Schizosaccharomyces pombe: one gene and its partners. The protein of the gene in region 2 binds, or shares a complex with, the protein of the main gene of each other region. Each region holds a gene or a part of one and is shown on either strand. Other genes may lie near its edges. The genes, in order: mrpl33, rtc6, mrpl17 and mrpl40.

What was found.
Region 1: rtc6 (region 2) and mrpl33 share a complex: the UniProt entries of both Schizosaccharomyces pombe proteins name them as parts of the mitochondrial large ribosomal subunit.
Region 3: rtc6 (region 2) and mrpl17 share a complex: the UniProt entries of both Schizosaccharomyces pombe proteins name them as parts of the mitochondrial large ribosomal subunit.
Region 4: rtc6 (region 2) and mrpl40 share a complex: the UniProt entries of both Schizosaccharomyces pombe proteins name them as parts of the mitochondrial large ribosomal subunit.

The regions. Positions count from the first base shown.
Region 1 is NC_003421.2:2,218,042-2,226,469, forward strand, and holds mrpl33 (mitochondrial 54S ribosomal protein uL30m), read right to left. Parts: upstream 4,542-8,428; 5' UTR 4,531-4,541; coding exon 4,481-4,530; intron 4,426-4,480; coding exon 4,182-4,425; 3' UTR 4,163-4,181; downstream 1-4,162. Other genes in the region: wtf antidote-like meiotic drive suppressor Wtf25, read right to left, coding at 1,086-1,162, 1,223-1,276, 1,317-1,550, 1,600-1,845, 2,012-2,150; SPOM_SPCC1919.07 (uncharacterized protein), read left to right, coding at 3,542-4,162; tif6 (translation initiation factor-like ribosome biogenesis protein), read left to right, coding at 5,113-5,147, 5,202-5,273, 5,589-6,216; myo52 (myosin type V), read right to left, coding at 7,007-8,428. UniProt on the Schizosaccharomyces pombe protein: Component of the mitochondrial ribosome (mitoribosome), a dedicated translation machinery responsible for the synthesis of mitochondrial genome-encoded proteins, including at least some of the essential transmembrane subunits of the mitochondrial respiratory chain.
Region 2 is NC_003423.3:1,518,089-1,522,050, forward strand, and holds rtc6 (mitochondrial 54S ribosomal protein bL36m), read right to left. Parts: upstream 2,403-3,962; coding exon 2,124-2,402; 3' UTR 1,942-2,123; downstream 1-1,941. Other genes in the region: RNA-binding protein Yme2, read left to right, coding at 1-1,901; Lid2 complex histone demethylase H3-K36 subunit Jmj3, read left to right, coding at 3,183-3,299, 3,356-3,962. UniProt on the Schizosaccharomyces pombe protein: Component of the mitochondrial ribosome (mitoribosome), a dedicated translation machinery responsible for the synthesis of mitochondrial genome-encoded proteins, including at least some of the essential transmembrane subunits of the mitochondrial respiratory chain.
Region 3 is NC_003421.2:2,121,065-2,130,285, forward strand, and holds mrpl17 (mitochondrial 54S ribosomal protein mL46), read right to left. Parts: upstream 4,682-9,221; 5' UTR 4,597-4,681; coding exon 4,479-4,596; exon of another isoform or gene 4,385-4,478; coding exon 3,951-4,384; intron 3,803-3,950; coding exon 3,704-3,802; intron 3,637-3,703; coding exon 3,481-3,636; 3' UTR 3,069-3,480; downstream 1-3,068. Other genes in the region: pus1 (tRNA/U2 snRNA pseudouridine synthase Lsp1), read left to right, coding at 1-677, 743-1,098, 1,138-1,309; SAGA complex deubiquitinating submodule subunit Sgf73, read right to left, coding at 1,687-2,138, 2,210-2,792; twf1 (twinfilin), read left to right, coding at 4,886-4,910, 4,949-5,026, 5,090-5,457, 5,566-5,694, 5,750-5,885, 5,926-6,044, 6,087-6,218; ubiquitin-protein ligase E3 Asr1, read right to left, coding at 6,670-8,385; SPOM_SPCC126.08C (lectin family glycoprotein receptor), read right to left, coding at 8,977-9,221. UniProt on the Schizosaccharomyces pombe protein: Component of the mitochondrial ribosome (mitoribosome), a dedicated translation machinery responsible for the synthesis of mitochondrial genome-encoded proteins, including at least some of the essential transmembrane subunits of the mitochondrial respiratory chain.
Region 4 is NC_003424.3:2,666,405-2,675,438, reverse strand, and holds mrpl40 (mitochondrial 54S ribosomal protein uL24m), read right to left. Parts: upstream 1,647-9,034; 5' UTR 1,460-1,646; coding exon 620-1,459; 3' UTR 501-619; downstream 1-500. Other genes in the region: ESCRT III complex subunit Did4, read left to right, coding at 41-340; SBDS family ribosome maturation protein Sdo1, read left to right, coding at 2,334-2,461, 2,656-3,268; Brix domain-containing protein Rpf1, read left to right, coding at 3,990-4,910; mrpl28 (mitochondrial 54S ribosomal protein mL40), read right to left, coding at 5,270-5,626; mrps12 (mitochondrial 37S ribosomal protein uS12m), read left to right, coding at 6,617-7,105; hxk2 (hexokinase 2), read right to left, coding at 8,256-9,034. UniProt on the Schizosaccharomyces pombe protein: Component of the mitochondrial ribosome (mitoribosome), a dedicated translation machinery responsible for the synthesis of mitochondrial genome-encoded proteins, including at least some of the essential transmembrane subunits of the mitochondrial respiratory chain.

The DNA of each region.
Region 1 (8,428 bases), on a different chromosome or scaffold from region 2:
ATTGATTAAAAAAAATTAGTAAAACAAAGAAAAAATCAATGATTCTTAGCTATCATGAAGCCCAACATGACCAGCGAGTTGTGGTTCGTTCAGTCGAGTAAGTTCAATAACCAGTCAGTCGCACTGAATTTGGCAGGAAGAAATGACTGCACAGCATAATTAGAAAAAATCCTTTGTACTTTCTAGATCAAGCACTAATACAACAGTACATACTCTTTTTGGCAATACTTGTACGTTGCTTATCCTCGGTTTAAGACTGTGTGATCTCGAGTAAAATTCTGCCCTAGATGTAGCGACCAGTAACGGGTGCCGGTATATTCAATACAAAAAAGGAATGCAGCGAAGTCAGCTAGTGTAAAAAGCGAGTATGCCTGTTATTGATAAAACTTCATGATTAATACTAATAATGATGGGTCGATTGATAATCATTGTTGGATTTATAAGTGTGTCAAGTAGTAAACCCAGAACGATTTTTGAAAGCGACATCTCCTATAGAAGATAAAAGTTAATCAATGCTTATTCACTTAACAAAGACACATCCAAGATGGCTTCCGCAAGTAATGTTGCTAATTCTCATGAAATTAATATTATTAATCATTAATTCATAAACAATGAAAAATTAAGAATTAACTAGTAAGTAAGGTATAAATTATTGATTAAATTCCTGTACTTTTCTATGGTAGTCAGCAGCACTCTGAAGGTCACAGAAACTAAATTATGAAGATAAGTAGCAAATTCAGGTTCCCTTATTTGAAATCGTGACTATTTTCAAACTGCTGTTTTCGACTTAGGTTAAAATGTTTTGTCATCGTTATCAAAATCACTTTCATAATTAATCAAAAAATTTAATGTCCAGTGCATATTATTCTTATGTTGCAGAATCTTTCAAGCAATGCACTTGCTCATCCAATTCGTCAGGAAATGAAACCATGCAATAAAAATACAGTGTAATATACTCTAAACAAATTCATTTGAACGTTTTGGTAATCACAATTATAAAGATGCTTCTTCCCATTGCACATTCTTGTAGAGAGTTTCGTGTAAAAAGCACCTTTGTAATACAAATAATAAAGCTAGCAATATATTTAGGCTTCACTTTCAGGGTTCATTTCACGCAACAGAATAGTGGCGTCTTCATTCACGTGCTGTCTGATCTCATAACCTAATGATGATTAGCAAACACATTTAATGTGATTTTTTTTTTTTTTATCATCAAATTTACCATAAAATGCTAGTGTTCTTTTCACCAAATCTGTAGAGCAAGATCCCGGTTCCACTATGTTGTCAGTATTAATTTTGTTTAGTAAACAACAAACCTGTTTCAGCAATGAATATGAGAATGCTTGATACAGCCATGAAAGTGAAAGCGGATGCCGAGCATTTCCACCCCCATCGTTGATCACCCAAATGTGAACTCAATTTGTTTTCAGCTTTTAATAAAACCAAGCAAAATAAAGAACTTTTACAAAAAGCAAAAATCATGTTTCTCCAATTTTTTAAAAAGTGCTTGATTCCTTTTCCGCAAGCCTTGGACCAAGTTTCATAGAAGTCTCATGAGTTAGTGAATGAAGGTAAGATTAACCACATTGTCTCACTTACAAGTCAAGAATATTAAAGCCAAAGTGCAAACAAGACACCAAAATCCAAATAATGTCCATTCCGCTGCACCATAATTTTTAAAAAAAGCGTCCTTATACTTTAGATAACAAAATGCTGGAGCATTGAATAGAATGATTGAAGTGAATGATATTAGCAGTATTATCAACAAAGGGGAAGAATTATCTGTCGTCCCATAAGAATGGTTTTCTCTATGTGTGTTAAGAGGATTATTTACAAGTGCATGATCTGTTTAAATTAATATAATGAAATACTTTAGTAAAGAAAGAGCATGTATCAAAGTGTGTGCATTGCATGGCCGACTGTAAACAATGACCAAAGCATGCAATTTGACAAGATGGCAAGTTTCAACTTTCAATTGAGTAATTCCTTTCTTATTATTTACAATTCTTACCTGAATATGGTGGTAACGCGCCCTCTTCCTCCGAATCATATTCTGGGAGTGGTCCTTTTTCCAAATCGATTTCATGATCTGTCTTCAATTCATCTTCTTCATCTAGAGGACTTTTCAAAGAAGTGTAATTATTCTTCATTTCATCAAGATCATTCTTTATTTAATAAAACACATGCGCGAATTAATTGCTGTGATTGCGACAAACGAAACAGCGAAATCAAGAATATTCGCTCTGTAGTCCAATTCCAACCACTTCAAAGACTTTTTAACAAAATAATAAAATTGTTCAAACAATGGCATAAAAAAAGAAGAACGAAAAAACTGAACGAGGCAGTGGATTGCTTCTGACACATTTATTCTGTCACTGCCCTTTTTATTCACCCCAACTTAAATTTCCTTATAAATCATATTGTAAACATCATTACAGTACGTTGTGTATCACTAATTTCATATGTTAGAAATATTTGGCAAATCATGTATCTAAATATAGACATCAGTTGATAACAAAGATTAGGAAATTTATAAATGGAATTACGGCTGCCTCTCACTCCTCAGTTCAGTTATTAGCTATATTGGTAATTGATACTATTAGACATCCTTATAACAATAAATATAATAGTATTAGTTAGCATAGCGTATACCGCTATACTGTAGTTCGCAAGAGAGTCACTGCAGTTCAATGTATCGTTAAACAGATATCAACTGCGTAGCTGACATATTTTTGTGCATAATTATAATTCATTATTTATGATTTGATAATTTCGTATTTGTACTAAGAATTGGACGAACGATGAGCGATGGTATTAGACAGATGAATTTTATCCTTTATCATTTTCTGTCTTTTTGTTTGTGTACTGTTTCTTTTCTTTTCTTCTTCTCTTCCTTTTTTTTTTGTAAAGACTGGCAAGTGGAATTTATCAACTGTATTATAGACTGTTAGTTGCAAGCTCGACGAACTTACGAATTGAGTTTATAATTATATTTTAACAAACTTGCACTTTTAAAATTCCTATTTTAACTAGTATGATTTGTAAGTAAGCCTTTAACATCACAATTTATACTGCAAATGAAAAAACCGAAACAACTGATGTTACCATCGAATAGTAGGTTTTTTAGGAAGAATTATTTAACGAGAAGTAATTGTATAAAAAAAATTCTAAACTTTTGGTTACGAAAAACGATCTAGGTTCCTTCGATCACCCAGGTCTGCTGAACTCTGGTAGATAAACTATCTTGAAGAAGCTTCCCCAGAAACCTGTCTATTATACATTCAAGTAATGTACAATCATTGAAAAGTTTTTTTTTAGTGTTCAGTCGAGTGCGAATTTTTATTAAAAAGCGCTAAGCAAGTTTGGCTTAAAAAAAAAAAAAAAGGATTCTTCTTTATTATTGCTTCAAATTTTATTATACTCGAGTCGTTAAAAATATAAACCACTACGAGAAAAGAAAAAAATTGACCAACATTGTAAAAAAACTTATTGTCTTATAGGGTACAGGTTCCTCCTTGCCTCTTCAGACACGACGTCCCATATGGTAGTACAAGATAAATGGAAGAGAAAAGCGACATTAGCGTATAAAAAAAAGCATGACATTCATGATGCACCTGTAAAACCTCGTAAAAAAAATTTGGGAAATAACGAATGGAGATTTAAAAATGCAGGGGAATACTTTGATGAAGATAACAATGAGGAAGAATATCCAAGTTTGGAAAGTTTGAAGACCGTGGGGAATGGAGATACAATTCAAGATGAAGAAGAAGATTTCGAGTATTCAAAACTACAAGCACGGCCCCTTACTGGTTTGGGAATTAGCAACCAAAAACCCAAGTCCAAAGTTCGGACTATCCAACGTGAAGAAGTAGCCGACATGTTGGAGAGCGTTGAGCATGAAAAGTCAATTCAAGAATTCCGTAAGCGTTATAATGTACAAAAGCCAAAGGTAAACATTAGCCATGCTGAAGCGGAAGAAGATATTGATTCTTTTCTTGAAAGTATGGATCAGTCTGCTCCGCCTTCCATTACAGAAGATAAAGGGGAAAATTACATTTCTTCTAATCATTCCAGCATGCATATTTCAAGAAACGACTCTAGGAACTATATGTCTGAAAAGCCAAACAAAGACCAAAGTTGGTTAGATGAACTATTACGATAAATATAACTAGAATGAAAATTTAACTTTCAAACATGTTATTCAATTCTTTTAAACCGTTATTGTATCGATGTATCACTGTAAATCCGCTACTAGAAGCAAGAGACTTCTTTTCTTGCCCAGCGGCTAACTTTTGTTTCACAGTACTGACACTAACGAGTTCTTTTACTTTAAAAATTCTTCCCGCATTGATTGGATTTACATCGCAATAGACTACGGAGTGTCTTTTTGTTAACCTCAAAGAATGCAAAACGCTGCGCACCTTACTAAAATATTGGTTAGCAATTACAAGCATGTTTTTCTCGTTTCCAAAACACGTACCTCGAGAGCCCGATGGCTGACCTTTCTAAACGAACTCGAAAGAATGACATTATGGTAAACTAGAAGTTCGTGGAGTCCGTTTAACACTAAATATTGAAACTCTTTTAGTTCAACCGATAAAATACAATTCATATCGCAAGCTCGTTATTGTTCACTATTATTCACTACGTTGCTATCTATTTAACGATACATTGAATTACGATGAATTTTTTGCGATCCACATTTAGTGGAATGCAGTATATTAACTACAATGTTATATTTATTGTTATAAGAAGTCTATTAGTGTAAGTCACCGATATGGTTAAAAAATGGAGAGGAGCGATTTACAGTAACATCTATAATTATCATCTTTCTAGTAGTTGTAATCACATGGTGTCTATGAGTATAGACGACTACTTATCTGTTTACTGTCAATAAACGGATCTTTACTAATATTCCAACATGTAACATATAGTGATACGCAACCTAGTAAATCATTAGTGTAATGCAGTATTACCGATATATCACAAAAAATTATGTTAATTGGTATTACGTGTCTGCTTCACAATGCTAATATCATATTAACGATGTTCAATGGATTATTATTTTTAAGATGTGAAATTTGGCTGGGATAAAACTTTTTCTTTACCAAAATGGCACTTCGTGCTCAATTCGAGAATTCTAATGAGTAAGTTTACTCAGCTTTTTTGCTTAATAGACGCATGATATTAACAAATTATAGGATTGGTGTCTTTTCTAATCTCACAAACTCATACGCACTTGTAGCGCTTGGAGGCTCTGAAAACTTCTACAGGTAAGCTTAACGTTTATTTGATGCCAAAATTTAATGTTCTAAATGTAAACGATTCAAAATTTTTTTAAAGGTTCTTAAAATCCTTAACCAGTCGAACGTATTATGAGAAAAATAAATAGCACATATGTGAATGATGTAGCCTAACTACTCTTTAATTGAGTAAAAGAGACTTTGCTACATAAATGCAAACCACTACTTAAACTCTGGCGGTTTGCTGTTCATTACCTTTATTATTCCTTGACTCGATGCAGCTCGACAAATTATTTTTTTTGGCATTTTTTACATTTATCAACTTTTCACTAACTTTTATAACAGCGTGTTCGAGGCAGAGTTAGGTGATGTTGTACCCGTTGTTCATACCACAATTGGAGGAACCAGAATCATTGGTCGTTTGACATGTGGTAATAGAAAAGGTCTGTTAGTTCCCTCTTCTACCACCGATAATGAACTACAGCACCTCCGCAATTCTCTTCCAGATCCTGTCAAAATCCAACGTGTTGATGAACGACTTTCAGCTCTAGGAAACATTGTGGCTTGCAACGACTATGTGGCCCTTGTTCATCCTGATATTGAGCGTGAAACCGAGGAAATTATTGCTGATGTCTTAGATGTTGAAGTTTTCCGTCAAACCGTTGCAGGCAATGTTTTAACCGGTTCGTATTGTGCATTGAGCAATCAAGGTGCTTTGGTTCACCCTCGTACTAGCATTCAGGAACAGGATGAATTGTCATCACTTCTTCAAGTTCCTCTTGTTGCCGGTACCATCAACCGTGGTTCCGATGTTATCGGTGCTGGTCTAGTTGTGAACGACTGGTGTGCGTTTGCTGGACTTGATACTACGGCTACTGAATTGGCTGTCTGTGAATCTATATTTAAACTTCAAGATGCTCAACCTTCTGCTATTATAAGCAACAGAGACACTCTTGTTGAGTCTTATACATAAGCAGTCGGTGTGAGCTAACTAAAAAATTATTGATCAGGATTTATGAGTTTGGATAATTCATCCTACGTGATATTTTCCTATTAAAGTTTTAATGTTGATACGTTATACGTATGTATCTGGTTATAAAATTTTTGATATGCCTTTCGGTTTAATAGTCCTATCCATTGTGGTACCCAAGCTTCCTATTGTAGAAATTTACAATACAAGTTTTTTATAGACCATTATAACACTTAAGGGACTTCCGTAATCGTGTTTATTTTTATTATGTCAAATAGATTTTGAAAATGCTTTTATTGCTTTGCTTTTTGTCTGTTCTTAACACATTCGGATTTGTTAAGCTATTCTCGCTTATAGAGTAGAGCTTCTTGCTAACGCTGCATGAGACTTCGTACTTCAATTTACGTGTTTTATTAAGTAGTTTGCAGCCTTTATATTAAAAATGATCTAATAAATATACTTTCTTTTCAGTCTTTGGTGACAAACTAGTTATGGAAAGTATTTCGATGTAGGTATTTTTTGACTGAAACCAATGCGTACTCCGCAAGCGAAATAAATATTTAAGAATAAATTAAGTTACCAAGTAACTATACAAAGTGGGGAAGTAGAATAGACTACAATACTCATAGATATTTATATTTAGCAGTAAATAAAACTCGTAAAAGATTGTCATTATCAGGATGTTTTGATTAAAACTTCCACGGAAACTAAGGCCCAGCTCCAAATTTTGAAAGTAAAACCCCTAATTAGGGAATAAATAAGTAGGCAGAGCACCTTGAAAAATAACTAGATATTAAACTTTAATACCATTTGGTACTTGATTTTCTTCGTCGCTCGAGTTCTGTACATCATTGTCGGCTACGTTGCCTACAGTGATCAAAGCTTGCTCAACACTTTCTTCTGCACTAGCAAGGTCGATGATACGACGCAAATAGGTAACATTACAATCATCTGGTATCTTTATTTTTTCAAGAGATGGAGATTCCTCAAAACTATCTTGTAGTCTATAATCCAACACTTCGTAAGTAAGTTGTTCCCTTTGATTGATGCCTTCAGCAACAATATTTTTGGACAATTCAGACATAGTTTTTTTCGGTACATGAGCCTCGTAGTCAGCATAGTCATAACGATGTAAGAGTGTTTTTATTTGCAGAAAATTAAGAGCATAAAAGTCGCGGACCCTGGCCACATAATTTGGATCATCTTTCACAAATTGTAGTATCTTGGAGGTTTGTAAAAGCTCTTCGAGCTGCAAATAAGCTTCCGGAACACCACTTTCTAGACACCAATCCTTAAGAACATGATAATTGTATGAAATATTGGTACCACGTTTCCAAGATCCACGTTCATCAATAAAAAGTGAATTGAATGCCTCCACATTAATGAATCGATATATGCTTCTAATCAATGCATTATATATTTCATAATTAACTTTATAGGCCTGACAAGAATCATGCACCTTATTTAGTACATGTATTACATCGGTGATTTTGTATTTTGGTTTCTCAAAAAATTTAATCCGTAGTTTTCGATTCTCATCTCCAGCATCCGTATTTGTACCAGTAATAATCATTGCCTGAACAATCAATGGCTTTAAAAAATTATTGACTTGCCTAACCCATTCGAAAAAGATTTTTGACAGATGTGATTCAATCATCTCAAAAATGGTTTGCACTGATTCATGAGATTCGGTGGATAAAAGAGTGAAAGCCGAGGAATGTTTAAACGCCTGCTGCTTAGTATAAACAAAAGCCAAGAGCGCATGTGTATTTGCAACCCAAAATCCGATGTCAGGTCTCTCATTAGCAGATGATGTCTTTTGAAATACGTATTCTAAAGTGTGGACACAGTAACGCTCAACCAAGGCAACACTTTCCTGACACAGATTTGATTTCCACATTTGTGATATTATTATAAAAAGTAGTTTTGCTAAAAACAAATGATCAAGTTTCTGAGCCTCAACATCGTTGTCCTTTAGTAATAGAGTTTTAAGAGTTGTAAATGTTCTACCTGCATATTCTGTGAGTTTGTCAAGATCGTGCTTCAAGCCATCGTTCATTAATAGCACAAGCATCTCTTTTTGAGTACGCATTTCCATCAATGAACTATCACGACGTGATTTCTCTTCCGAATTGCGCGACTGTTCGATACTAGAGGCCGAATTCAGTATTTTAGTGGCTTTTGTCAGACTAGCAATTATCCTGTTTTTCTCTTT
Region 2 (3,962 bases):
CTACCCCGATTCCACACATGGTACATGGTATTCCTTGGCTTCAAGATTTATATATATTTCCATCTCGTACAGTAGATGTGAATTTCGAAGGTCCGCCCCTTTCCCAGGAAAGATTGTATAGTATTTTTAGGACATATGGAAAACTAAGATCCGTGACCATTAATTCACCTACTTCTGCTACTTTGAGTTTTTCATCGCTAAGGTCCGCTACGTCAGCTTTAAACTGTATGCATGGTTTTGTTTATGGGAAAACAGAATTCCACATGCGATACAGACATATGAACCGCTTTGTCGCCTTCAAAGACTGGTTATTCTCTCATCCTCGTTTTACTATTCCTTTGGTTGCGGCGGCTATTACAGTTTTAACGGCTTCTTTATTCGATCCGATAAGAAAGTTCTTTGTCGAGACAAACATTGTACATGGTCAGAAGTTGAGAAATATCAATGTTGTTGGGTGGGTCAAAAAGAAAACTCGCGATATAGTTTTGAGTCCCTTTCACGAAAATGGTACAAATATAAAGGCACCGATTTGGACAACACGTGAAAAGGATTGTGAACAGTTGAAAGAATGGTTGGATGAAGCATTACATTCTTTTATTGTTGTTCAAGGTCCTCGTGGTAGTGGTAAGCGTGATCTGGTAGATCGAGTTGTTAAAGAACGAAAAAATGTTTTGTTTTTCGACTGTGATCGCTTATTCTCCACTACTAATACGGAAATGTTCGTAAGTACTCTTGCTAGCCAAACGGGGTATTTCCCCCTCTTTAGCTTCCTAAACAACATATCGTCACTTATCGATATGGCTGCACAAGGTCTCATAGGACAAAAAACGGGAATTGTTTCTTCTAGTGAAGGACAAGTGCGGCAAATTCTTAACACAACACAAACGGTATTGCGTTCTCTAGCATTACGAGAGCATAAAGAAGCCGATACTAGTGTGTTGGATGAATCTGAGTTTTTAGAAGTTCATGCAGATCGCTTACCTGTTGTTATTCTCGACAATTTCCAGCTTCGTAAATTATCAAACCCGATGCAGAGAGTGGTTGCTGAATGGGCTGGTAATTTGGTAAAGGAAGGAATTGCTCATGTACTAATGCTAACACCCGATGTTGGAGGCACCAAGTCATTAGAGCAATATGTCAACGGTTGGGAAAATAGAACATTGTTATTAGGAGATGCTGACCCTGTACTTGCTCAGCGATATGTCATAGAGTCTTTACCCGAAGAGATGCAAACAGAAGAATTGAGGAAAGAATTGCGGGTCCAATTACCGAAGATTGGTGGCCGACTTCGTGATCTTGATTATGTAGCTCGTAGGTTGCGGGTTAATTCTTCCAGTGTTTCTGAAGCAATTGGCGGTATTGTAAGTCAAAATGCCTCTGATATTTTGCAAACATTTTTACGGCCTGCTTCTTTAACCAGTGAGGAGAAGCCAACGTTCACTCCAGAAGAGTCATGGACCTTAATTACTTATTTATCTCAACATGAATATATACCCTATCATATGTTGATGCTTGACCCACTGTTCAAAGGACACGACGATGCCGTTCGTGCCTTGGAAGAATCAGAATTGATTACTATTACCACAGTGAATGCAAGACCGGATAAAGTCTACGCTGGAAAACCTGTATATGTTACGGCTTTCCGGCAACTTGTAAATGATCCAGTATTAAGTGCTAATATGCAGTTGGTGAGATGTAACGCGTTAATTGGCATGGCTAACAATGCTATCAAGAATGATGAACAGGAGCTACAAATGCTAAAGGACCTTGGGAACCTTGAATCAGGTGTGAAGGATCGTGCTCATTACTTAACGACGCGTATCCAGAAAAATCAAGGTGTTATTACTGATAATGAGAAAAGTATAGAAAGGCTTACTGAGGCTTTGAAAAAAATCGACTAAGATGCGAAAGCATATCATTTAAGATTACGTATGTTTTTATGAATTCTTTAGCATGAAGCTATAATGTCAACAATAATATCACATTTAATGACTACGCATTAACGAGAGAGAAGGGAGTAAGGATTTGGTAGGTAGTCCAAAAATCGTCGTAATATGAAGTGAGCGTAATGAAGAATTAGCCTAGGTAGAAAAAAAAAGAAGAAGCGAAACCGGTTATAGTCATTAACCTTGACGGGTTTTATGTCTCGGATGTTTTTTGCATAGTACATACAACCTACCTTTGCGACGCACAAAATAGCAGGATGAACAACGCTTTTTTACTGATGCTTTCACTTTGAAACCTCTTGAAAAGTTCCAAGGTAGAAGGCTAGGAGAAAGTCTGAAAGCAGGGGTTAAGAACATAGATGCATTTTTTAACAACCCTTTTTGTGCATTAAAAGCAGAAGGGAAGACTCGTGACAAAACACCCACAGCAAAAAATTTACGACCTAATGAAGCCATTATAAGTTAAAAAAAAAGTGAAACTGGGACTTCAAGTCAAGATGTTTAAATTTTTTTGGATCCGAAGTAATTCTGAGCTAAATAAATGATGTACGATGGAAAAGTGTTCACAATTTGGACTGAGCCAAAAAAGAACGATAATAGAAAATGCCTATCAACAAGAGAAGATTTTCATAAAAAAAAAAGGTGAATACTAAGTTATATAAACTCGCTTACGCCCGATTTGTTGGATATTCTTTGTTGGGAAAATAAATAGTAGTTAGTGCTTCTAGTAAGCTAACCTACGACATGTCAGTTAGTGACAACCAACATGTCTTGTTATTCTATAAATTCAATAGCCAGCTTACTGTGGAGCAATTTGACCTGAAATTTATCACATTATTTTAAAATAAGGAATACTTTTATTAAAGTGGAGTCAACTCAACAGTGTAGCTCCATTTTTTGTTTACAAATGAAAATTTTAATGTTGAGTCTCTGACCTTCTTAGTCCCTAAAATAGCTAATTGACCGCATCATCTAATAACTTTGATTCTACGTTATTTGGTTTGGCATGCTAATCGATTAATTTGAAATGATCAATTTTTGAGAATTTGTTTATGTTTTTAGTTGCTGGTATAACGAGTTCGTTATACTTTGCTAATTTGGGTATGGAACTGGAGTGCAGATGCGTCATTTGCCTTGGTAAAAGATTGTTAAAGGAAAATTTAGCAAATCCCACGAATTGGTGGATGTCTCAAAAACACCAAAATATTCAATCCAAAGGCTGAAAAATAGATTGCTATGCAGCAAAATGTTAAAGAGAAACATGCTGGCAAAAGTGACACATCAGTGAGTTCTTTGGAGTGTGAAATCGATTATCATATCGAAGGGTCAGATGGCATACCTGTTGTGGAACCAGTAAGTTTACGCGAAAAATATTAAATATTTTGTGGATGTTAACAAAATTTGTTTAGAAAATTTCAGAATTTGTAGATATGGAAAGTTTTATTCGGCGCGTTGAAAGGCTTGGCAAGAAATACGGCGCAATTAAAGTTGTTCGTCCTAGTTCTGTTTTAAATCCTTGGAACGAAGATACAATGAAACCTTCCGATGTAAAAATGGATTTATGGTTAGAGCGAATGGTGAGACGGAAAGGAGAGTACTTCGAGATTCAAAGCGATATAGACCATGGCTCGGCTGGTCCTAAAAAGCCTACCGATATGAATGTCGACGACAGGTTTCCTTCAAACGCTGGAAGTTCTAATGACTTTGAAAACAATGTGGCTAAAGCTATTGCATATTATTGGCGTTCTTTGACCCATGACAGTCTGTGGTATGGATATACTAATCGCCCATCGATCCCCTTCTATTTTATACCTTCGATATCTGCTGCTCAAAAAGATAGGGTACATTTAAGATCGAATACATTGATTAACACTTGGCCAAATGTTGGTCACTTATTTGCTGGGAAATGGAAAACTACCCTTCCTTGGCGGGTAGAATCTCCTGAGCTGCATGCAGTTCAGGTACATTTAGGTGGCTCTTCATTGCAATGGTATGTGATACCTTCAGCACATAGTG
Region 3 (9,221 bases), on a different chromosome or scaffold from region 2:
CTTCCATTCGCTTATGGGATGTGATCCGTACTATTAATTCTTTTAACCCAAGGACTTATTGCGAATCTCGTATATATGAATATATGGTTCCAACGTATGCTTTTGTTCCACCGAAACCTTCGTCCATACTTGGAAATTGCATTATGAAGAATTCTCCCATGCCTGCTGAGCCAATTAACAAGGAAAATATAAATCAACTCAGTCGTTCATTATTTTATGAAGAAGGAAAGGAATTTTGGGATGATTATGATATTGCAGCCAAAGAGATTTTGAGCCTTTATGAACAGGATCCTGAAGGCTTCGTAAATCCATATTCTAAAAGGGGAGCTGCTGCTCTTGCTAATTCGGAAAATAATAAGGGCTCTGAAGCAGGAGTTTCCGCTAAAACTAATCCAGATATGGATTCCGATTCCTCTGCTATTGTAAACGAGTTTTTAAAGCCTGACTCTGTTGAAGACGAATCTGCTGGTTCCAAGATTGATCCCAGTTATCGTCTCGAACGTGCACTTAAGCACATTGAAGTACTTAAATTAAAAAATTACCGTATTTCCGCAGATAGGCTGTCCGTTATTCGAGAAACTTTAAACCAATATGTTGGAGTTCATAACTTTCACAATTTTACTGTGGGGCAAGCATTTCATCAGAAGAATAGTAATCGCGTGATCCGTTCTTTTACTGTAAGTAAGAATTATCTTCTTTGTATTTATAGTATTCTTGACAAGTCTTGTTTCTAACATTCTAGGCATCTGATCCATTCATGATTGGCGATACAGAATGGATTTCATGTAAAGTTCATGGTCAATCTTTTATGTTGCACCAAATTAGAAAGATGATTGCGCTTGCTATTTTAGTTGTACGAACGGGTTGTCCTGTTGAGCGCATACAAGATGCCTTTAAAAAAACAAAAATTAACATACCCAAGGGACCTGGTTTTGGACTTTTATTAGAGTCACCGTTTTTTAAAGGTTATAATGAACATAAAGCTCCAGAGAATAATCGTGATCCTATCGACTTTACAAAGTACGAGCAAAAAATTACTGCTTTTAAGCATGCTCATATTTATGATAAAATTTTTCTCGAAGAAGCTCGTAAACAAGTGTAAGTATATTTTTTTCTTAAATTAACTAACCGGTTTAGATTTCATTGTTTTTTGTCTTTTATTGACAGTTATAATGAAGAAGATTTCAGTTATTTATCAGATATAGGCATTACTGAAAAGACGCAAGAGGTTTCCTCAAAATTGCCTGATGTTCTTTCTAGCGATGAAGAAGAAGATTCGGCTGAAAACAAGGATGATTTAGAGGGCTAAAGGATTGATTGTGAGACTGAGGATTTGCAACAAACTGATACCATAAACTTTGCTGTTTCTTTTAAAAAATTAGACTACAAACGTGTACATATATTTTTGGAGAATACTTGTTTCTTTCTTTTTTTTAGAATTGATTATTGGTTTTGGGTTCTATTGGTATTTTTATAGTTTATTAACTTCTACTTGATTATTCCAAATGTTAAGACCGTATGGTGCAATATACAAAATAAAAAATGAAAAAATTAATGAAATAGAAACTAGATGAACGGAGGAGAAAATTAAAAAGTCGAAAATGCGTGGTCAAGTAGACCAAAATGTAAACTATAATCTCATAAAGAATTTAAATCATCAACCGAAGCAAAATCAAAAGAATTTCTTTATAGTGGTTGGCGGGCACTAAAAGGAATCACTCGTCCCAATATAGTACCAGTAACTTGCATACCCTGCTCACCATGTCGAAATGCAGCAGCTATTAACTCTCTAGTACGAAAATACGAATGGCGACGTTTTACGGGTAAAAAAACTTTTTGCTCCAAAGGCTGATTGCCAGATTTCTGGAGAACATTCATAATGAAACTGACTTCTTCATCAGAATCAACAGGCGCTTGATGCTGATTATCTTCGGATTCTTTTGCAGTTTCGAGGATTTGTCGTTGTATTTTTACTTGGTTTTTCTTTTGACAAGCTGCAAGCAAAACATCGTATGGCTGAGATCTTCCCGGAACGGCTCGTTTGCTTGACATTGAATGCGTTTTACATGTGAGAGATCTGGCGCACATTTGCCCATTAGGAAGCAAAACACCGCATTGCTTTTCAACATCCACAGGACCTTAATTGAATGTTAGTATTAAAGTAAACAGGTACTCCATTCTCCATATTGAACAGCATAAACCAACATACCTTTGACCTTTGGATTCTTCTTCTTGCTAGCCTCTTTCTTGGGAAGGGCGGATTTTGTAGGCTTTTTGTTTTCTTCTGTCTTCCGACGTTTTGGAGGCATTTCAGGATTCTTTTGACCATTAACTGAATTCTTTTCATGATTCCCAGCTGAGCCCTTAGCTGTCGATTTAACACCATTTTTGATGGGTGCATTATTGCCATTGTTGACATCTTTGTTTAAAACCTGAGAATTCGCAACAGGCTCAAATTGAGGCTTAGGAGGTTTAATTCCATTGCATGAGCTATGATGGTCCTCAATATACTCTGATAGGAAGGGTCGGTCGCATTTTGTGCATACAACATAATCGAGTTCTGAATTGTTAGGATATGACCCATACTGAGGAAAGGAATCAGCAGGTAGTAAAATTTGAGTTTGATTCGTAATGTTAGAAGTTATTTCATCCTTTACCTGTGATTCTGTATTATCAACTCTTTGATCAGCGAGTACATCTTTGGGTAACCCATCCGGGTATTTCAACAAAACTTGCTCATTTCTTTCCCAATTTTCTGGAAATAACTCCAAAGTCTGTTGTTCTGTTAACATTTTATTGATAAGAACCGAGTTTATAAACAGAATTCTACAAAGTTGCCCTTTGTCAATTCCTTTGTAGTGGGACTAAATCTGTAAGTCAAGTGTATGTACGGTTTAATGCTTCCAGAAAGCAAAGTCTATAATTGCATTCTAATGAACTTTCAAAGGATTATGCTGACACATATCATTTCTGATAATTACTAAATTATACAGACATTGTCTTTAAGGGCTAGACTATGACTGACAAAAGAATTTTTGATCTTGGAATTGAGGACAAACTACGGATATCAATTTTGATTAACAATTCTATTTTTTTAGGTCCCTTGAGCTAAACATAGTTTATTATTAAGGTGCGCGCTTTTCCCGTTTTCTCGTACACTGCCAAGAATCCACAGATCATGAGGGTGAGTAATCATGAAATCCGGACTCCAAAAGTAGGCGGCTGAAAATAAAATACTGGCAGAATCATTTGCAAATAAAAAGATAGAATAAATAAGGAGAAATACTTAGTGAAATTCCAAAATTATTTGTTTTTTTTTACATCGTACCAAAACATCAAAAATTAAGGAGAGAAAAAAATAGAAAACGTGAAAATTAAGCTGAAAAATGCAGTAAGATTGTAGAAAGATTGAATTTCCAAGATGAAATGTTCCGCTGTTTATTTTCCGTAGATTTTACATATTGTTTGCTCAATTGAAGATTACAAACGATCGGAAAGTATGTTTTTTACAGAATCCCATGAAGAAGGAGAAAGTTTGTTTTTCAGTTCATCGTACGTACACCAAACCCAGTCATAAACGTTTTGCAGGTTAGGTACATCTAATCCATTTAATAAACGAGCACGTAACAAGAAGGTCTAGAAATAACTGGTTAAACAAAAAATCAACCCAGATAAAATGAGAACAAAAAATCCGTAGTCTTACCTTTTCTTGTTCCGTTTTTAGTAATGCTAATGGATGACGTGCAACTAGCCAAGTCAACGAATTTTCGTCTAATATATTTTTTAAAAGATCTTGACATAACTACAGTTTGTTAGAAAGGCCAATCTGCAGACTATGTAAACAAAAATTGCAAGAGTATTTGATAAATTATTTAGCATCAAATCAATAGTAAGTAGTCTCTTGCACTATATTGTGTATCTTGGAATCGAATTTTAAAAAATGTACTTACCAGATGCAGCGCCTTCTCGGAGCTTGTAACAGGAGTGTTAGGAAATTGCCAACCCGAGCTTTTAGATTTTTTTACCAACAAGTAAAGGGACTTGTCAAGCGAGCGAAGAGTGCTTCGCTCATCGTTTTTCGTATCAGCTTCTGTGACTCTGGATTGCAAGTGAGTTGCAGAATCCAATAATTTGTTAGACTCCATCTCTTTCCTTTCCTTTCCAAATATCGTCTCAAAGGGTGATTCTTTACCTTTTAGTGTTTTTTGTCGTTCTTGCCAATCTTTTTCACCCACCGATCCCTTCTTGAAATAAAATTCTGCAGGTAAAGGATCACTCAGCTCATTCCAAAGTTCCGCATTATATTTATATATAGATTTTTCGAATTCGGATGGTTGGCGAGTAAGAATTGGCGATCTAATTAAAATTGTACCCACTGAACAACCTAAGATATGTTAGCAATCATGTACATCAAAGGTAATTTTTTTATTTATATTTAATATCCCTAGATAATTCATTTTCATTTTTTAATTCTGTACCTTTTAGAGGAGTCGAGTTAGACAAGGGTTTAGAGGATTGAATGGAATTTCGTACAGAAATGTGAAATTGACGCGAAAAAGACCTCTGCATATTTATAATATTTCTCTTCAAGTACATTGTTTAAACTTAGTCAATTTACGCCAAGTAAATCTCCAAATTTCGGCTTTGTTTACTAATCCGGTAAAGACCACTTGGTAAAGGCAATCGACGTTTCGCTATGGCTAGCACTACCACCTGTTTTACCAGCGTACATTACACGCTTCGTTAAGTACTGTAATATTTCTTAGAGACTCTGTTGCTATCGTTAATATGTTTTAATAGATTTCTTTGGATTTCGTTATAATTCAATTTAACTCACTTAGAATGGGGAATTGCTGACGCAGTAAACCTTTCAATCCCCATAACAATGTCTGCTTCCGTCGAATTAAAACGTAAGAAATTTGGCTAAATTCTTCTAACGTGTGGATAGCTACAGAGAAGTTCAGTAAATTTCTCGAGGAGTACTCTTCGGTACCGGTTCGCGCCGCCATTATTAGCATTTCTAATGGTAAGTTTCCATTCGGGCTAGAAGAGTAAATTTTAAGTTAGTTGAAGTTACTAAATGATTTAGAGAATTCATTTGACGTGAAAACAATGGTTGAAAAATCAGAATCGATAGAATCTGATTTTAAGAAAGTCCGTGAATGTTTGCTCGGATCTGAAGAACCTGCATTTGTCCTCGTTTATGATGATAGCAAGAAAAATCTATTACAATTAATTTCCTATGTCCCTGAAAATGCGAATGTTCGCAGGAAGATGTTATATGCCTCTAGTCGTGCTGCATTTGTAAGATGCGTAACTCTTGCTAAACTCGACGAGTCTTATTTCGCAAGTACTCCGGAAGAGTTAGATTATCAGCAAATTATGAAGAGCTTAAGCAAGCAAGAGGACCAAAGTCCTTTACGACAAGATGAACTCGAAAGGAAAGAGTACAATGAGGTAGGTAAACTGTATTGGGGTGGATGGATTTTTCATACTTCTTTACCGTGGCTCGTAGAATTTATAGCTTCTACTCTTTTATTTGCATCTATTTTAACAACTATGTAGTCTATGCAATCCTCAGTAACTCATAAGCGTCCTTTGGTGACCCGTGGTGTTGCTATGTCGATTGATGATAAAGCCTTAAAGGCTCTTTCTGATTTAAAATCATCTACAGAAAACAATCTTGTTATTTTGGTAAGGAAGCTATGATACTTTTGCTATGTATGGTGTTGCTAACCTCCTTTAAAAGTCTATTGACAAAGAAGTCATAAGTTTAAGTCAAGAAAAGCAAAATATACCTCCTTCTGATGTGAAATCCTTCTTTTCTTCCACCGAACCTAATTTCGCTTTCTATTCCCTGCCAAAAGACGGCTCTTCAAAAATTTGTAAGTACAGATGCAGGATCATTTTATTAACAAGGTCTAGTGTTTATATACATTTGTCCAATGCAAGCAACTGTCAAACATCGAATGGTTTATTCTTCTTCCAAACTTGGTCTTTTGGATAGTATTAAAGCAGAATTGGGTATTGTTATTGATGGCAAGGTATGTTTATCCCTCGTAGTAGATTTTATGCTCACATGACAGATTGAATCGAATGATGCCGCTGATATAACTGAAAAGGAAATTCTTCATGCTGCTGGGATATCAAGTCCTCAAGCAGAAACAAGCACCACCAAAACTGGTTTTTCGAGACCTCGACCCCCTAGAAGACGTTAAGCAAGTATATACAATTTTTTGCGGTTTCAAATTTACAGACTTTTTAGTTTATCAATCTTTTTCATGACATTTCAAATTCGAATTAAAACAAAATATACTACCAACGCCTATATTGAGCACACGTTGCATGCTATATTAACGGTCTCACTTTGCAATGCAAAATGTTATACTTCAATAAATAGAATAAGACAATCACTAGATCTATACATTGTTTCCTCTTTTCTAAAAGCGAAATCCTTAAAGACTCCATTCTTGACGAGTGTTAATCTTGCAAACATATATTGTTCAAACATTAAAGAAACACTATCCTTCATTAACAAAATAAATACTCTTTTGGAAATTGTAATTGACCTCAAAAGTTACTTTCTGATTTCCAAAAGATTAGATATGATATAATATTAAAAGCATATGCACCAAACCATAACTCCTATCATAAATACATAACTCATAATCAGTCATTTGAAAGAGACTGTATACAGTTAACAACCTTTTCCCGTATTGTCTTGCTTATTTTATGTTGCTGAGGTCCTTCAAGCGACAGAGTACCATCCGATAACGCAGTGTATACAGATCGACAGATATTCTTATTGAATAGAGCAAATTGATCTTTAGATATTTTTGCTTCTCGATAATAAGGCTTCAGAGCTGCGTTAACTAGCCGTTCTATTCGATACTTCGTTTCATAAGAGACTTTTTTGCTGGAATGCACCAAATCATGTCGGCCCGAAGTGCGTCGTTGATGCATACTCGTATCATTAACTAAATGATTATCCACAATTTCTCCTGGTTCCGAAAGTTCAATCAAATGGTCATCCAAATTATCATTACTGATTTCCCTAGGTGATAGCGGTACGTGAGATGGTCGAGGAGAGAGATTTGAGAAAAGAGGAGTCAAGTGAACGTCTGAAGTTCCATCCGAAGCTTCAGAGTGAGAATTCTTAATCTCATGTTGTAAACTTAACATAAAGGAAGTATCTATTCGTGAGGTGCTTGGCTGGTTGATGTTGCTAATTAAACTAGCGAGAAAAGAATTCTCTGATTTAGATGATGAATTATTGCCTAATACTGTAGAAGATCCTGAGGATTTATTAGAACAAGGAATGTGCCGACGAGTAGGTCGCTTTTGCCTCCTGTCGTGACTCGTGGAATTTGGGTCATTCACAAATCGAGTATCTTGTTGATGATGTTCTTCTATAGGCGTTTGCTGAAATCGACCCGACGAAGGTCGTGGGTTACTAATGGTAGCCTCAGTGGCAACGGAGTGGACCGATGAATTCGCATGTAGAATTTCATCAAAATCATTCCATGCTTGCTGCTCAGAAGCATTCGTTACTGGTGTCTGCACTACTCGTGGCTGCTCAACTGGCTCATTGAGCTGGTTGGAACGTAGACGTGCACTCTCAATACGACGTCGCAAAAGTTCAGACGAGACGTCACGAGCAGGCAGTCGTTCTTGTTGCATACCATAATATGAGAGATCTGAATTCAATGCATCCCAAGCTCGATTTCTAATGGCATTCCAAGCACGTGTCCATGCACGCTGCTGTTGTTGAGAAACTCGCGAGGCACGAGCAGCTGCTCCTACCCTTCTGCGTCTTGTCTGGCCTCTTCGAGAAAGAGAAATACGTGAAGAGAGTGTTTCATTTTCTTGATAGTTTAACAATACACAATTAGGGCAATAGAACTCTTCTATAGGTACTGCATCCATGTTTAAGCAATATGTATGATATGCATCATCACACCCATCGCACAACAAAAGCACCTCAGCATGATCAGAGCGGCCACATATGACACAGCGACAGGTTTCGGAACCTTCGTCTTCAAACGGCTCGCCAGCATTGGCAACGCTTTGGGTTTTCTCCTCCACAGGGTATGCACGATACCAGGGTCCCTTCACGAATTCAAGTACGTCAACTTTAAGAAACTCCGTTCTACATAGAGGACATGTATTTGCAACTCTGCACCATGATTCCAAGCAGTGGTTGTGAAAATAATGTCCACAAGGAATTTTCGCAATTCGAAGACCATCCAAGGTCGACGAAATCGAAGCGGGAACACTACTGGAATCCCATTGATCTAAGGGACAATTTGGTAAATTACTAAGACAGATGATACACTCTTCAGAGCTATCAGAATCTGCCGGCTTTGGATCTTCTTCAGCGTTCATTAATGTGGGGGCCGGAACCACAACGGGGCATTTGGTGGTGGGGGCGTAAAGCAGTAGTTATACAACGAAGGTGATGGTAGAAGGAGAGAAGGAAAACTGGCTCTTTAAGGGGTTCAACATTTTGTTTAACGAGTTTACTAACGTTATTTTGAAGTTACGCAAACGAGAGAGATTTGTAAAGTATATTAACAATTTCCACTGTACTACATTATCATAATGAAAGTGATCGATCGACAGTATTGGGAGCAGAGTGGAAATGAATAGTTTAATAACAAGGAAGGAACAGTTTAAACGGTTAAAGAGTTTGAAAGTGAAAGAATAATTTTAGAAAAAGAATTATCACATATATTATAGGGAAGATATAGAAATGTGAACGAACGATACTTTATTATGGTAATGTTAATTTCATATTGAATGAAAAGAGAATGAAGAGGTGAAAGAAAAGGCGATTAATACATAACATATCGTGGCAAGGAAGAAGTATGGGTTTATGAGAAAATAAAGTACTAGACGATATGGAAATCAATATCGTTGAGATATATGAAAATCGTGCTGCGGAAAGAAAGAAAATTCGCAGAAAGACTTTTTGCTTTAAAGTACGGTCGTACGACGGTTCTTCTCTTGTTGAACCTGATAAGAGCGAAGGGCAAAGATGGAAAAGATGACAATAAGTGAGAGGAGCAAAATAATGAGACGCTTTTTGAAGGAACCCTTCTTCTGTCCATAAGTAGTACCTTTCAATTCCTCAGCAGGAATTTCCGGAGTTCCCTCATCGTCAATATCGGTAATTGTACGGCTCAAAATACTGGCAATTTCATGGGATTCACTTAAATCAC
Region 4 (9,034 bases), on a different chromosome or scaffold from region 2:
CACCTTAATATCGAAAAATATAGAACTAACTTTTACAAAGTTATTGACAGGGATGAACAAAAGCATGAATATACCGGCAATGGCTCGTATCACTCAGCAATTCGAGCGTGAAAATGAAATTATGGAACAGAGACAAGAAATGATTGATGAAAATATGGACGATGCTTTAGAAGAAGATGACGAAGAGGAAGCTGATGAACTTGTCAATAAAGTGTTGGATGAAATTGGAGTCGATTTGTCTCAAGGATTGCCAGATGCTGCGACCCAAATTGGTACGGTACCGGAGTTAAAGACTGAAGACAATTTACAAGCCAGATTGGATGAACTGGCAAAGCGTTAATTTTCGCACAAGAGATTAATGGACTTTAAAGATCTTGATTTGTATAGATTTTCTACATTGATTAGTAAAAGTTTTTCTAGGTTAACGTGTAAACTTCAAATACTTCACTTTCATTGAAATCACTTATCACTTACTCTACTAAGTTAAATATATTTAAGTTTCTTGAAAAATTTTTTAGAAGAGTTTACAAAAGTTTATTAAGCTTTATAACCTAGAGATTGTGAATCATTATGTAATGTTATAAAAAAATGCTTGCAACGACCAAACATCGTTTTTGTTTTAATCACTGTAAGTATTAGGAGAGATGGGTTTTTTTATTAAATCTTCAGCAGCAGTCTCTGCTCGGACAAGATCTTTAGCAATTTCAGTAAAATCATCATTGTTCTTTTTATATCCCCATATACGATCTAAACGGCGAGACCAATTGGCTCGTAAATCGCCAATTGCAAACGGAGGAAGAGGAGGCTCCGATAAGCTAGGAGACCAAGTAACTTTACTAACTACTGGATTCTTAGTATCGAGTTTACCTTCGGGATCTTTAGGCTTATCTTCAGTCTTGGGACGAGGAAGATGAATAGTATGAATTTGTACTCCTTCAATATTAGGCCGAATAATGGACCGGAGATTAGTTGAGGAATGCTTTTTAAGCTTAACTGGAATAAGAACTGGTTCCCCGGCGTCAGTCTTTGCATGCGCAAGAAGACGCACATTTGCATAATGTACTTCGTGAGCAATATCAATTACTGGATCTTGGTTATCTTCAGGCTTATTTCGCAAAAGAAAAATTGGTACTTTGACGGATCTCACATTAACCCCCTCTATGGTAATACCGTTTGTGTATTTGTTTGTCTCAACAACACGGCCCCATTTTCCTTTCAGAGGTCCTTGATGAACATATACATAATCCCCTTTAAAAATATGCCAGAAAGGGACTCTGTCAGCTGGCTTTCCAAACGGTAACTCGGGTTTAGCGGATTTATCGTCTTTAACAGTTGGATCAGATTTATTGAGGTGTTCGCGTATTTTGGTTCGCATATGCAACGGTAAAGGCTTTTTCATTTTTAAGACGTTAGTACCAGGGCCTCGGAGCCTTGGAATTAATTTACGCAAGTCTCTCATTCTGCTCAAAAAGTTTTATAATATTTAAATAACTAACGGTGGTACATCACTTGTACAGAGGAATTTACTACGCTGTAATGTTGGAACGAAAGTAAAACCTCTAGACAGGATAAATATGGCCAAATATAAGAGAAAAAATAAGAATGCTATGAAACAGTAATGTGTATCCTGCTGGTAGTTTGCAGTTGTTATTTGAGTACTCTCTTCGTCAATAAGTAAAGAAATGGATCATTGTTACACAAAGGCAACTTTGCGATACGTGGTTAAGTTTCATTATTTAAAATTTGCTTTTGCTTTTGCACGCAATATTCTACAGCTTCGACATCGTTAACCAACATTAAAATGATGTGTACTCGTTAAGACAATGTCATTCTATCTATTTGTTTATAAGTTTAAAATTGAAAATGTTAAGCGAAATCGTATAGAAACGCTTCGCAAGTGGTTGTGTTAATATACTAGGATGTAAGATTGAAGTTTTGTCGGATAACTCAAACTTAGTCGATACTTCTATTGTTTTCTACTTTTTTTTTAGTATTTGCTGAATTTAGGTAATAATTTTTAAAAGCCTAATATCATTCGTGATTTGTAAACTGGTTTAGAAAACCCGACAAATAACTTGCACTTATATTAAATATTTAACCATAAGGTTTTCCAAGATTATGTTAACATCCGAAAAATGATTGGAACCATCCTTTTGCCTTTCAGGCTCGCAAATATCAAATTTTTGTTTAATTTTCAGATAAATCTAAATACCGATATATAGTGTATGGATTGTTAACCTGTTTAACAGATTTAGGCGTTGGATTAAAACACTATAATTAGAGAAGGTGAGAATAACAAAAAATAATCCAAAAAAGTACCCATCTTGAGCAAAATGGTTATTAGTCAACCTGTTGGACAAATTCGTCTAACCAATGTGTCCGTTGTAAAATATAAGAAAGGAGGGAAAAGATTTGAAGTTGCTTGTTATAAAAATAAAGTTACAGAATGGAGAAACAAAATGTATGCATGATTTCATTAAATTAAGCTACTGTAATTAGTGAGAGTCAGCCTTTGCTACAGATAAATATTCTTTAAGATCAGCAGAAAATTATAACAAGCTATCTTTTTGAATTCACGTGTCTTGTCGACTGGTGTCAACAACTCAATAACTCGTACAATTTTTTTTGATCAAAACCATAGCTAACCAAGTTTAGTGAAACAGATCTGGATGAAGTTTTACAAATCCACAATGTGTTTAACAATGTTTCTAAAGGACATGTAGCTAGCCGACAGGATTTGAAAAAGGCTTTTGGTACAGATGATATAGATAAAATTATTTTAGAAATTTTGCAAAAAGGAGATTTTCAAGTAGGTGAAAAGGAAAGACATCATCAAATGTCTTCAACTTATCGCGATATTGTCTCCCATGTTACTGCGATGTGCATGGATCCTAATTCTAAACGACCTTATCCAGCATCTATAATTGAAAAAGCATTATCTGATTGTGGCTTTTCTGTCTCTACCAGTAAAACTGCAAAGTCCCAAGCTCTGGAAGCTATTAAGAAATTGCAAGAAAAAAACGAAATTCCTATCGTCCGTGCGCGTATGCGCATCAGAATAGTGGTGGATGTCAAACAGGGAAAAGCTTTACGAGAGCGTTTACGCTCTTTAGCTGATGAAATTGAAGAAGAAAACATTGATGATGAATATGAGTGCATAGCTCTCGTGATTCCAGGGAATTATAAGTTGATAGATGAACTTGTCCGAAATGAGACCAAAAACCGAGGTATGGTTCAAGTACTCGACATGAGCGAGGCTAGGACTTAAAAAGGTATACAAATAACCTTTCTGAAAATACGCTCTATATGAATTCCCTAATCTGTTTTCCTCCTCCTTTTTGCTTACATTGTTCATTGGCTTTTGGTTTTGAAAAATTTTGCTATTAAAAGACACGTTCTGATTCGTTCTGGTTATCCAGAACATTATTTAATTTATCAATATAGCAATTCAGTTCAGAAGAAAGTAAAAAGAAAGTAAAGAAATGAAATTAAAAGACTATCGTCCCTTTCATTTCTGCTAGTTCCATTCAAAGCACGCATTCAAATGTGAAAATGAAAGTAGCGTGAGTGATTTGTAGAATGTTGAACCCTTACCACAATGCTTTCAGTTGTTCAACAATTTAATGATGAGGATATCTATAGTGTACGATTTCGGATTGTAATATCACCTATTTACAAACAGTAATTGTAACTAAAGTATACATTTTGCTTAACAGCAGTGTGATATAATACTGCGTTAATACTTTTAAGCAAATTTGACGAAATTCGTAGCATGTTCTTCAGATTCGGTATTTTGCGACATGGAATTGGATTGTGCAATAAGTTTTTGAGACTTCAAACCCATCGTATACTTTTTTTTAACTCTCTTTTATTTGTACTTAAGTTGCTCATTCTTATCTCAATTTTTTTTAGTTGCAATTTTTTGTAAGGATTTAAATTATTTCATTCTTAAATTTTAAATTTTGAGAGATTATACGCAACTTATTAAAATGGGGAAGATTAAAAACAAAATTGTCCGCCAACAGCAGTATATGAAGGCTCTTCATCAAAAAAATAAGGACAAGCTTGAAAGAAGAAAAGAACGTGCTAAAGAAGAAGAAAAAGACCCGGAAAAGAAGAGATTGCGACTTTCAGAAAATATTCCCGCTACTATTGAATCGAAACGAGTTTATGATGAAACTATCATAGAGGATAAACCCGATGAGGAACTTCAGGCGGAGTTAAAAGATGATGAGTTTTCTGCATACTTTAGTGAAGAAAGGAAAGTTCCGAAACTTTTGGTAACCACGAGTAAACGAGCCTCTAGAAAATGCTATGATTTTGCATCTGAGCTTTTAGATTGTTTTCCTAATGCTGAATTTCGAAAAAGAACCGGAGATATTGAAGTTCATGAAATCGCAGAAGCCGCTGCTAAGCGTGGTTACACCGATTTACTGGTATTAAATGAGGATCGTAAAAAAACAAATGCATTAACCCTTGTACACTTACCGAATGGCCCTTCGTTCTATTTTACCTTATCGAATCTCCAAACAGCAAAGGAAATTTCAAATCATGGCCGCTCCACTGGTCATATTCCAGAACTGATAATCAACAATTTCTCAACGAGACTTGGTATGACTGTTGCTCGAGCCTTTCAATCATTATTTATTCAAACGCCTCAAATTCAAGGGCGACAAGTTGTTACCATCCATTGTCAAAGAGATTTTCTTTTTTTTCGAAGACACCGTTATGCATTTCGTGAAAAATCGAATATGCCAGATGGTATTGGAACTGGGCTACAAGAATTAGGTCCTCGATTTACCATGCGTCTTCGTATGGTTCAAAAAGGAGTATGGGATAGGAAAGAAGGGGAGGTTTTCTTCGAGAGCAATGCCGGTGAAGAATCAGATAGACGTAAATTCTGGCTTTAAAGACATTTTGTCTCATCTGCGACACGTTGTAAAAAGAAAACAGTGTTTGGGTCATATTTTATTGTTTTCGAGGTAGGGTTTGGGTTTGGTAACAATTCTAAATTTTTGGTTAAAAAAGAAAGCATGGCCTTTCATTTTGTATCATTCGTTTACGGTGAAATTGGGAATGAATAATATGATACATGTAGACTAGAAACTAGGAGACATAATTCTTTAATTCAATTATTGGTTTATTTAAAAATCCTAATTAGATTATACTTGCTCGTAATTAGTGATACATTTTTTTATATACTTGAACTTGTCTATAACACTTTCGAGCACTACCGAAGATATTAATTATACTCATAAAAGGCGCTCGCCTATTTAGAAAGCCGTGGTGGTGTGTCCGTAGGAGTCCTCGTTTCTACGGGGAACCTCCTGTTAATTGAATCGCTCATTGCGGCTTTATATAATGTTTCACTCGTATGCTTCAGTTCCTCGCAAGCAATTTTCATTGCAGAGAATTGGTTTTTTAGAAGATTCTCTCTTTGTTTTTCTTGTCGATATTCGTGTATACGCCAAGCGCGATTAATAACTTCGTGTTTTTCCCACATGTCTGGATTCATTTTCAAAGACCTGACTTTTTTATTTCCGTAAAGAGCTTTTCTAACCAAATCGATTGACTCACTATGATTAGAAGGACCAGATTGGTGCTTTCCCTTTGAGGCCTTAGCCATTAATTGTAACGTAGAACGCATCTGCCAAAAAACTTTTCAACACAAACTAAAGTACTCCTTGAATTTTTTCACGTTGATAGAAAAAAATTTAATTTTCAAAAGTATTAACATAAAACCTTCCTTTAAAAGCTAAAAAACCTGAGTAGAGAAAAATGCGGTAGTAGTAAACGTGTTCAGTGGTATGAAGCTAATTAAGAGAGTAAGTCGTGATACACTAGGAAAAGCCACCAGTACGATATTTCAAAAAAAGAAGTGTTTCATCAAATCCCCTTCAATTTCACACACTGATAAAAAAAATATAGATTATAATTCGGAGTTCATTTAATTGTTTCTGAATTTTCAGTAGCTAAGCCAAACAAAGCATATGCATTTATGGAGATATGTAACCAAACGAAGACATTTAACAAGTAGAAAATATTAAGTTTTAAGTCAAAGCTTTATATGGAGTAGGCCTGATGCTCAATTTTTCTGCTAAGTTTCATGTAAGTAGTCAAACACATTGATAAATCCATATCAGTGTTTAAAGTTTTAATGAATGGATAAGTTATTGTAATAAATACTATCATCAACTGAAAATGGCATGGCAAAACGAAGCTTAAACCTCAATACAATCTACTTCCAGTACGTTTTTCAGTAGAAGTCATGAATTAAGTTGATTTTTTCAGCTTAACACTGTACTGTAAATTTGTCGATTAGCATACCTACATTCTGCATCTGTTTTAGACTAGTCCATTAAAGTTCAATTCCTAGAGGAAAAAATATTTAATACGCTAGTTATACCCAAAAATGTTTGTCAAAATATAAAAGAATAAATTTTTGTATCCCATCGAATAATATGAATGCTGCGAGATATTCTATTCCAAGGCAATATACATACACTAACACCAAACCAGCGACGTTCGGGTACAAACTTCGGAATTCCTTGCTCAAGCATCTATTATAGTGATTTTTGAGATTTTATACAGCTCAAATATTAAATTTCCCCAAATAATGATCCGTTTTGCTCAATATGCTCGATATCCGGTAATTTCAAGGTTGATGAAGCCAACAGTTATTTCACCATTTCAGGCTCAAGCGTTTTCTAGCTCTTCAGTTATGTTAAAGACATTAAATCAAACGATAAGAAATAAAGAGAAACGTCCTGAAAAAACAAATAAGCAATCTGTTGCTTTAGAGGGAAGTCCGTTTCGACGGGGTGTGTGCACGAGGGTCTTTACAGTAAAACCCAAAAAACCTAATTCGGCAGTAAGAAAGGTTGCCCGTGTACGCCTTTCAACCGGCCGTTCTGTTACTGCTTACATTCCAGGTATCGGTCATAATGCACAGGAGCATGCTGTGGTATTGTTAAGAGGCGGCAGAGCACAGGATTGTCCAGGAGTCCAATATCATGTTGTTCGGGGTGTCTATGACATTGCTGGTGTAGCGGGACGTGTCACATCCCGAAGCAAGTATGGAGTAAAAAAACCGAAAGCAGCCTAAACTTCATGACCTCAAAGACTTTCTTTTTCGAAAACCATGATATTCAGAAACGTTATCTTTATAATTATTCCACCTCCTCTTTTGATATCGATTCACAAGGACCTTATTAAAATGACTGAAACAAAAATTTAAATGAGAAAAAAGTTGAGTCAACCCATTTGTCATTTCTCGCAACCTTGCTTCTTGTTGCAACTATACATATTCAATAATCATTTACTCTTGCATGTTTAATAAGCAATTTTTTAGTTGAACTACATCCCCTTTAAACATACAATCATCAAAAAAAGGTAAAAAAGATTGTGTAATTAGGCAATTTCCAGTTATCTAAAAAATTAGCAAATAGATAATCCTTTTGGTTAAAATTTAACCAAATCTATCTAAACAATGATTTATTAAAATGAGGAGGATTTTCTTTTGAGAAATCCTTTTGGAAAGTTTTCTACTTTTTTGATATAAGCTCTTTAAATAAATTTTAAACTTGAGACGCTTTCAATTTTTAATTTGTTCAATTTGGTTTTACTACCGTGCTATTTAATTTTTAACTCTTGAATAAAGTATAAAAAACACCTTTTGGGTGTTGGAAAACGCTTTCCGGTTCTTATTTATATAGTATGCAGTATTGCTAGCACAACTTCACCGTTCAACGTTGCAGAAAAATTTACTAAACGATGAGAAAAATATTTTTTAACAAATCTTGGTTAATTGGATTTCTTGAAAGAAAAAGAAGATTTTATCTTGAACCCGAATAATTCATAAATTTGAGATAATAGGGTATGATGAATCTTATTTTTTACAAACTCAGATTAAAAAAAATCAAATTTCTTTTTGTTAGAATCAATTTACACACACATCTTTGAGATGTCCTGTAATGTTTGTAAATTCCGTACTCTTTTTTGGAATGTTAACAAAATCGTAACAAATTTAATAACAATACACAACCACAATTTTGTTTTAAAGAGACATATAACATCAATCACAACATGCTTTTTAATTCATCTGATATTCAATCTTCATACTATTAACTAATTCCAGGAAATAAATTCACTTTCAAAAAAAACATCTTAACTAAAAGCTGTTAAAAAGCAATTTCATATTTACATGCTCATTTCTACGTACAATTCAAAAAAAGCTAACAGACATCTAACATGATTTAGGCCAAGCCTTTCTTTTCCTTAACAGCTTGGAGGGCGCAAAGAGCGGCACCAATACCACTGCCATCCTTGGCAATACCAATGGAAATCAATTTTTCGTTATCACCGATAAGCTCACGCAAGGCTTCACGGAGCATGTCAACAAAGTGAGGATAGTGTTCGACTAAAGAACCATCAACACCAACATCACTCTTCTTACCAGCGCGGCCGGTAGAAAGATACAAAGAAGCAATGGGAACGGCAGACATACGAGCAGCACGACGGCCAATTGCATGAGCAGCATCCCAAAGGTACAAAGCCTCTTCGTCGCTGCGGAAACGGAACTTGAATGTACTAAGAACGTTACGAACATTCTCAGCAGAACGTTCAACCATCATTCTGGAAAGAACAGAAGTTTCCAAAGACCAAGCATCAGTAATGGAAGGAGGGAAAATACCTTCGTTGAAGTTGTAAACCTTGATCAAGTGGAATAAGGCACGGCGGAAAAGCTCACCGAGATACATACCACCAACGCGCTTCTCAAAGATTTGACGACCAGCATTGGGAGTATCATGATCAAGAAGTAAATCATAACGAGTGGAGTGAAGGCAAGAGAAATCAGTTGCTCCCCATTCCATGTTGATAAGCATATGATCACCAGTACACTTGCCAGCAAGCTTGGGAATTTGGTTCATTTGCTCGACGTAAGCACCGTTGGTACCGGTTCCGAAAATGATACCCATAAAGGTGTCGCTCTCCTTTGAAGTATAAGCACGGGTAACGAGAGTACCGACGGTAT